Linked DNA regions of Nothobranchius furzeri. The protein of the gene in region 2 purifies or fractionates together with the protein of the main gene of each other region. This does not show direct contact. Links are inferred from orthologs where the notes say so. Each region holds a gene or a part of one and is shown on either strand. Other genes may lie near its edges.

Region 1 (4,554 bases), on a different chromosome or scaffold from region 2:
TTTTTGTTGTCCAGAGGGAAAAAAAAAATCATGTTAAATTAAATTCATGATGTAATTGCATCTACTGAAGATCACATGGGTCATGCACCATGGAGTTATTATTGCTGCTCAACAGGTTGAGCGGGCTGTCCAGTAATCGGAAGGTTGCAGGTTCGATCCCGGCTCCGGACGGAGAATTCTGCTGTTGTGTCCTTGGGCAAGACCACCTTGCCTGCTGGTCCGGTGGCACCTGTGCTCGGCAGCTTCACTGTCCGTGCACCCCAGGGCAGCTGTGGCTACATCGTAGCTCATCACCCTCAGTGTGTGAATGTGTGTGAATGGATGAATGATACACTGTAGTGTAAAGCACTTTGGGGTCCTTATTCTGTGAGGCGATATACACGTACGGGTCATTTATCATTTAGTTATCAGGGCATACATGGCTGGAATCTAACAGTATTGGCTCATATCAGCGATTATACTGTAATGACTCAAGAGTCTCTGGTTGCTCTTTTATGAGTATTATTTTCGGGCTACTGTCGCCAAAACCCACGCCTTACAAACTTTAACTTTTTCAATAGAAGTATTTACTAGCATAGCAAACAGCGGAGAAAAAAACGGAACTTGAACAATTCTCCCCCGTCGAGTTCGCCTTCAAAATAAAACGTTAACCCTATAATTTACTATTCAAACCCTTACAATATGTTTGAGGTAGTTTGGCCACACTGACTATCCGTAGAAGTTTCCTGATTACACAGGGGAGGGAGGGGTTTGGCTCGTCTCTCTGGCTTCGCACAAGCAGGACAGAAAAACAGAATCCCGTTGGCGCTGAATGTGCCCAAATAATGAAAAACCAGGACGCCAAATGCAAAACTTAGAACAGCACATTTACCCAAAGGCTCTCAGATTGAGCAAACTTGTGAGAACACACACTGTATCGCTTAGAGACGGCGCAACATGTCGCTAGCATAGCGGCTAATACCTAGCATAGCAGTTTGACCAGTTTTATTGACATAAGTCATCTTGTATCTTGTTTAAATTTTTTTTATCGATGTTTTAAAAATATCGATATATCACCCAGCCCTAATTTGGAGTCCAATTGATGAAATTTAATCACAACATCGTAATCTCCACCCTGTCATTTACTTACAGTGAAGGCCAGATCCTGGCCTCTGAAGACCCAGATACCAGAGATGCTGCTGTCATTGTTGGTGCCAAACAAGATGACACTGGCGAAGGCGTTCTTCCTCAGTTTGTCCAGGCGTTGGAACATACCTGTGAAATTCACAGGTAAATCCAGTAAATCCAGTGTGAATACCAACATAAAGTCTGAGATTTACTGGGCAACGGTGAAAAGCTTATGTAAGCAGCAGTTAACAGTCAATCAGATCAACATTTGTTACCACAACTAGTGGGCAGTTAATAAGACTACACATTTAGGCATTTGGGCCTGATGTGACCACAGTATGAACCAGCCTAAACTCACTGAATCAGACATGGCTGGGATGAATTTGGGCCAACTTTTTCTTTCCCCGTCAGATTAAGACGTAGTGCCATCACAGGACACTGCCTTGCCCAAAGACAGGGGAGATGTCTACCCTACAGAATTATTTTTAGAATAAAACAATGTTCTACAGTGCAACTACCTTGGGATTGACAGGCAGAAACCATGGAGCACAATACAATACTTTGTTTTTAACACCATAGGTCTTGGGTTAGTGGAATAAAAAAGGACATTCATGATGTTAAACTTGAGGCTAAAAGAAGCAGTCAGTAAACCACAGTGGAATCAAGTAACCAGTGATTTCTAAAGCACTTTTATGTACAGCACTTAACACCATTCTTAACTTCAGCACAACTGCAAATCACAAGAATCAATCATGTCTTTATATCTTCACTCAGGCTGAAACAAATATTCAAATTCGATTGAATTGATTGCAAAACAAAATTGTAAAAAAATATAAATTGTATAACTCAGAAGTAATAATAAAAAGTGTTGAAAAAAAAGAAGAAAAAAAAATATATACATATATAATTTTTTTTTTCCTTTTAGAATCGACAATTATTACTTCTGGGTTATACAATCTCCTTCCAGTGTGACCTTTCGGTTATTAAACAAGCATGCTTGTTCTGCAACAGATCAAACAGAAGAGCAGGCAACAGGGTGAATGCAAAAGGAATGAAGACATCCAGAGAAAATGTCAAAAGTGTAGGACTATTCAAACTCAAGCTGATGGGACAAGATCGCTAGCTTAGCACAATTTTAGCAGTTCACAACAGCACAACTTCCACATCCCAGGAATCAGGATCACAGCACACAGCATCCAGGTGCTTTTAGGCATCAGCTGCAGATCTGAGACAAGGTGTGTGATTTAGTTTAAATGAAGATGAATGGTGCATCTCCAGCTACGCTAACGGGAGCTACCACTAAAAGCAAAGAAGTGCGTTATTTTTTCCCCTCTGTGCTTTAATGTAAGGCAGCATGAGACTAAAATGTGCTTGTCAGCTTTTTTTTAAGTACCCCATGCATGTTTTTAATTTCCAGTCATTTGTTTGGAACGCAGCAGTTTTAGAAAAGAACAAAAAAATAAAAATAAAACAAAAGACAAAATCAGACTTGTGATCAAATGGACATTTACTATTCTGTAGTTTATTTAGTCTTGTTGATAAAACAATCACCATTGTTTGCAGGTAAACTAAATTTCTTTTGTTTCAGGAATGGGCTTCAATTGCCAGAGTGGCTAAATCCATCCTCAGCTGAACATGCATCAGAGTCAACAGGCAGCAAATGAAAAAGAGCTGAATGCAATAAACTCTGTTATAGAAATAATCTGGTTATTGGCTAGTTTTTCCCACAACTAGTACTGCTCTGTTACGTTGGTACCAGATTTCCAAAGCAAAGGAAACAGAAAGGCTTATCTGATGAATTGATTGATTACTACTGTCTTATTACCGTGGCATAAGAATAGATTAAAATAATCATTATCTGCAGTCCTAATCTTCACATTACACCAACGCATACAATCAGCCCATCTGACTCACCTGTGATGAGGTTGCAGCTCTTGAAGGTAAGTGTGAGTTCTTCTGGGTATTTGTAAACACAATACCAGATGGAATACCCCTCACGGTCAAAGTTGTCCCAGAAGTGGGGAAGAGCTACTGTCAAGGTGTCCTCGTTGGAATATTTTCTTTTGAACTCGTCCATGACAAATGAGCTACAGAAAAATATGTATATATAACAGGTCACAAATGTGCTGTTGGAGAGGATTAATGTGTTTAGGTTTTAGTTTCCTTTCCATCATTAGCGTTTCTAAAGATCTCCTTTTCACCATCTTCTGAATTTATTTTCAGCTCCTCCATAAGTCGAGCTGCTCTTGAGATCAAGGAGAAATGTGGGCTCACTATGAACCAGCCTTTATTCTCACTAAAACAGAGATGACTGGGATGAATATGGCCCTCATTCTCTTCCCCTGTCAGATTAAGACTTTGTGTCATGAATGGACACCGCCTTGCCCAAAGACAGGGGACATTCATCACCTGAAATTAACTACTTTGTTTTAAAACTGTCAGTCTATGAATCAAAGACTCAATAACACATCAAATACCCAAAATGCACTAGATTCCATAGACATTTTCAGATTAATATATGCATCCAATTAAACTAAGCACATTTCTGTAATACACCACCCATATGTAAAACTAGAACTTCTGATGGCGCTGCTCACTACAAATCTTTACCTCTTTGGCAGATGTGCAAAGGGATCCTTTGCTTTGGGCTCTGCAGCCAAAACAGCATCACAGTCATCCATCTCCTCCTCAGGATCAGGCTTCTTCTCCTCCTTTTTCTTTTCTTTCTTCTCCTGGGGTTTGGCTGCCTCCTTCGCTGCCTTTTCCTTCTTGGCGGGGGCCTCTTTCTTTGGCTGCATCTCAGCAAACTTCTTAGCTAGTCAGAAGAACAGTTATCTACTCTTAAATCAGTTATTTACAACCATCTATGAACAAGGACGGTAGACTATTAGTGATTTATTTTGACTGGACAAATAAGAACATCTTAAGTCATACTACAGATCTGTAAGACCAAACTGATATCTGCGTTAAGTTTCAACTCGCAGTGCAGGTCCTTCTGACATCCTTTGATTACGAGTTTATTCTGAACTCACTGTTGAGGACTCACCATCAAACTGAGCCATCTTCTCACACAGCTTGACTTCTCCGAGAACTGCCTTGAACTGGGGCTGGTTTACACAGGTGACAAACCAGCGGGTCACGTTGGGATATGGCTGACGGAAGGAAGGTTCCAAGACCTACAGAGCAGAGAGGTTTCAGCTCTTCCCGAATTAAATATTAGAGATCAGGAGTGTGTGATTGGGTGCTTTGTGAACATCAAACCTGTTTGTAGAGCCAGACCATGGAGCAGGCCACAGTTATGTCTGCTAGGCTGACGCGCTCCCCTACAAGGAACGTGCGGGTGTTCAGATGTTGGTTCAGCAACCCGAGGACCTTCTTGATGTCCTCCTTGGCCTGCTCAGTTGCCTGTATGGACCAAAGAGACAGTTAACTTTAGGCAAAAACAAA
Region 2 (4,554 bases):
GAGCCGAGCCTTTTCAAGGAGGCCATTTTCATCTAATCTGTCTTTCCCAAAGGGCATGAAACGATTCGAGGCCAGAAAAGCAGTCCTTCAAGCACTCAAGGACAGAGGCCAGTTCAAGGAGATCAAAGACAACCCCATGGTTGTCCCAGTTTGCAGGTAAACCAGGCTTCTTGTCTCAGTGTATGGAACTAGGATCCAGACTTTATTGCTTTTATCATGTACCTATCGTTAATTAACACATAACTTTTGCTTTGTACCATGTAGCTTTAATTTTGTAACATTTTAGTTTTGCTGGTGGTGGCCGGAGGGACCGGTGGTACCAGTGTTCGGCAGTCTCGCTTCCATCAGTGTGCCCGAGGGCAGCTGTGGCTGCATTGTAGCTCATCACCAGCCTGTGACTGGGTGGATGACTGATTGTGTACGAACAAGACCAATAAGCATTTACCATTTAACTTTAGTAGCTTTTAACTTTAGCTTAGTAGCATTTAACTTTAGCTTAGTAGCATTTCACTTTAGCTTAGTAGCATTTCACTTTAGCTTAGTAGCATTTCACTTTAGCTTAGTAGCATTTCACTTTAGCTTAGTAGCATTTGACTTTCGCTTAGCAGCATTTGACTTTCGCTTGGTAGCATTTGACTTTCGCTTGGTAGCATTTGACTTTCGCTTGATAGCATTTCACTTTAGCTTGGTAGCATTTCACTTTAGCTTAGTAGCATTTGACTTTAGCTTAGTAGCATTTGACTTTAGCTTAGTAGCATTTGACTTTCGCTTTGTAGCATTTCACTTTAGCTTAGTAGCATTTCACTTTCGCTTAGTAGCATTTCACTTTCGCTTAGTAGCATTTCACTTTAGCTTAGTAGCATTTCACTATTGCTTAGTAGCATTTCACTTTAGCTTAGTAGCATTTCACTTTAGCTTAGTAGCATTTCACTTTCGCTTAGTAGCATTTCACTTTCGCTTAGTAGCATTTCACTTTCGCTTAGTAGCATTTCACTTTCGCTTAGTAGCATTTCACTTTCGCTTAGTAGCATTTCACTTTAGCTTAGTAGCATTTCACTTTAGCTTAGTAGCATTTCACTTTCGCTTAGTAGCATTTCACTTTAGCTTAGTAGCATTTCACTTTAGCTTAGTAGCATTTCACTTTCGCTTAGCAGCATTTGACTTTCGCTTGGTAGCATTTGACTTTCGCTTGGTAGCATTTGACTTTTGCTTGGTAGCATTTGACTTTAGCTTGGTAGTATTTCACTTTAGCTTAGTAGCATTTGACTTTAGCTTAGTAGCATTTCACTTTCGCTTAGCAGCATTTGACTTTCGCTTAGTAGCATTTGACTTTCTCTTGGTAGCATTTGACTTTCGCTTGGTAGCATTTGACTTTCGCTTGGTAGCATTTGACTTTCGCTTGGTAGCATTTGACTTTCGCTTGGTAGTATTTCACTTTAGCTTAGTAGCATTTCACTTTAGCTTAGTAGCATTTCACTTTCGCTTAGCAGCATTTGACTTTCGCTTAGTAGCATTTGACTTTCTCTTGGTAGCATTTGACTTTCGCTTGGTAGCATTTGACTTTCGCTTGGTAGCATTTGACTTTCGCTTGGTAGCATTTGACTTTCGCTTGGTAGCATTTGACTTTCGCTTGGTAGCATTTGACTTTCGCTTGGTAGCATTTGACTTTCGCTTGGTAGCATTTGACTTTAGCTTGGTAGTATTTCACTTTAGCTTAGTAGCATTTCACTTTAGCTTAGTAGCATTTCACTTTCGCTTAGCAGCATTTGACTTTCGCTTAGTAGCATTTGACTTTCTCTTGGTAGCATTTGACTTTCGCTTGGTAGCATTTGACTTTCGCTTGGTAGCATTTGACTTTTGCTTGGTAGCATTTCACTTTAGCTTGGTAGTATTTCACTTTAGCTTAGTAGCATTTGACTTTAGCTTAGTAGCATTTGACTTTAGCTTAGTAGCAGGGGTTAATTTGAGCCAGATCTTGCCGGAACAAGATCCGGGAACTGTCTTATTTTGAAAGGACCGTTCTGGCAACTCACACGACCAACTTGTGTTATACGCAGGGTTCAAATTACGGGTGAGCTAAAGGGAGCCCGGCTCACCCGAAAGGGTGACGGGCTCCCCTGGAGGCCCTCATCCTACACACCATGGGGTAGCATGAAAAAGATCCTGGTTTTACTTATATTATCTATGTGGACTCTCCGGAGATTATTTTGAGCTGAGAGGCGCAGAGCTCTGATCGCAGACAGATGCGTCCTGAGCACGGCCACATTAACATTCTCAAAGTGTCGTCACCTCAAAAAATATTTAACACATGGCCGTTAATGTTTGCTCACTTCCTTTTATGCTTTCTGTCTTTAATTTGTGCCTGATGCGTTTCACTGCTGCGGAGCGGAGCGCATCACCGGTTTTGTTCTCTGGTGACTTCTCTGCTGCGGCCGGCACACACTCCGCTATTTTTGCGGTCGGAAAATCTTTTTGAACTTTAGTTCAAAGGTAACTCATGAGGTGAAAATATATGAAGCCAGGTAGCAGTTTTTCTTTAGGATTGAGAGGGGTTGCAGGAAGATAATAGACAGAGACAGGACAGAAAAGTGTTTGAAAAGAAAAATTTATAAGCATGTAATATTTATACATTCGATACCATTTATACATATATATGATACAGTTCAGATCTCCTTCAAACCTCAAACCCATGCAGCCACTGTGCGGGGGAAGGGGGGAAAGGGCTGAAGCAGGGGAACAGTAAAGATGCAAAAACTTCCATTATTAAAAGAAATGTGTGTTAACTTTGAAAATGTGGGTGCAATTTTTAATTGCTTGTCAAATACTTTAACTTTCATTTAGTGACTTACGGATATTAAAAGTTTCTAAGCACAAGTCTCAAAATACGCATCTCAAAGTTACGTGTCACAAAACACACGAGTTTTAAGCACCAAAGTCTGTATCCTAGATCCATAGAAATGGAACTCGGTGCATGTGTTTGAGACATAAAGCTTATCCGTGTTTCTGCTCCAACAGTCGTTCCAAGGACATTGTGGAGCCGCTGCTGAAGCCACAGTGGTACGTGAACTGCTCCGAAATGGGTAAGCAGGCCGCAGATGTCGTCAGAGAGGGCAAGCTCAAAATCATCCCCGACCACCACCTCAAGACGTGGTTCAACTGGATGGACAACATCAGGTCCCCGTCCCCTTTCATCTCTTTTGTTGACCTTTTACTTGTTGGTAATTTAAAGCAAAGGACTTAAGATTCCTGATGCTATTAAAATATTTACGCTTCAAGTTTTTGTTGTAGTAATAGGAAGTATTTTCCAAGTTTTAGAAAATTTATGTGAAAATAAAATTTGTATTAAAGGGACATTATGGAAGTTTGACAGCCAAAACATGAATAGAAATAATAAATTTCTTCTTCATACATTCTCCTGCAATGCCCTGGTCCTGTAGAATGAGCCCTGGCATTTTTACTGTGATTGCCTGTTTTTCTGTAAAATCACAGAAAAAGAGAGATGCTCGGGTCGAGCAGGCTGCTTCATGCACGTTCACGCTCAGGCATAGCCCGTAGCATTTGCTATCCGTAGCTTTAGCAGCAGAGAGAGAGGCAGTCGATGGTGCCAACTCCTAACGCCTAGTGACGAACCTAGCTACATTTCTGAGGACCCTTAGCTACTTTCTTCTAGATATTTCCTGCAAATTAGCAACAAAATAGCCATTTTCGCTCCAAATCGTTTTTTTGAACGTTGTTTCAGCTGTCATCAAGGATATAAATGTTACAGATACAAAGGACGTTACTGATGCTTTAGCTCACCTAGTAACACGCCGGACTCTCGTGCAGAAGTCCTGGGTTCGATTCTGGGTGTGAACATAGCTTATTTAGAGTTCCTTTTTTACATTAATGGTATATTTTTTTACAATAATAAGATGCCCAAATTTTTATTTGAGACTCGCCGAACGGCATTGAATTCACAGATAAAAAAGATGTGGGTTCAACTTTCATTTTGGAACAATTTTTCAAGCAAGGGAAGGGAATGATCTGAGCATGCAGGAGGACTGACCCATCATAAACCTTTGTCGGCTGTGCTGAAGAGAAAGGTACAGAACCAAATTATTTAATTAATTAGCTGCACGTTCTCCTGTCCTCTGGGCCACACACACACACACACACTCACACACACACACACACACACACACTCACACACACACACACACACACACACACTCACACAAGGGACTGTCTCAGCTGTTATTTTCGTTAAGGAGTGTGCACGTACAGCATGCGCGCCTCGTGCACGAGCCTACCATTGAAGCTGTCGTTATGTTTTTGGCCTGAGGGGGGGAATCGCGAGCGTAAAAATTCAAAACTCCGTTAAGTCCCTTTAATATTGTAACACAAAGTGATGTTTTTAGAACATTTTTGTTTGAGAAAGCATTCATGTATGTAATGTTGTTATATAGGGGGCATAAATCACAATTAGATATAAATTTGTTGTTTTCTTACTAGAATTAAAGAACAAAATGATTGATTTGATATTTAAGTTTCTGTTATGCTCACTAATTGTTTACT

The links. Proteins that work in one complex are often made in the same cells at the same time.
Region 1: the proteins of vars1 (region 2) and eef1g purify together in Homo sapiens (affinity purification with mass spectrometry; 6 studies listed by BioGRID and IntAct, counting the BioPlex papers as one, with this or other methods). This does not show direct contact. The link is inferred for Nothobranchius furzeri from reciprocal best matches to the Homo sapiens genes VARS1 and EEF1G.

The regions. Positions count from the first base shown.
Region 1 is NC_091741.1:90,855,080-90,859,633, forward strand, and holds part of eef1g (elongation factor 1-gamma), read right to left. Parts: intron 4,513-4,554; coding exon 4,369-4,512; intron 4,284-4,368; coding exon 4,154-4,283; intron 3,923-4,153; coding exon 3,718-3,922; intron 3,195-3,717; coding exon 3,022-3,194; intron 1,255-3,021; coding exon 1,130-1,254; intron 1-1,129. UniProt on the Homo sapiens protein: Probably plays a role in anchoring the complex to other cellular components.
Region 2 is NC_091745.1:74,529,856-74,534,409, forward strand, and holds part of vars1 (valine--tRNA ligase), read left to right. Parts: intron 1-52; coding exon 53-156; intron 157-3,015; coding exon 3,016-3,174; intron 3,175-4,554. UniProt on the Homo sapiens protein: Catalyzes the attachment of valine to tRNA(Val).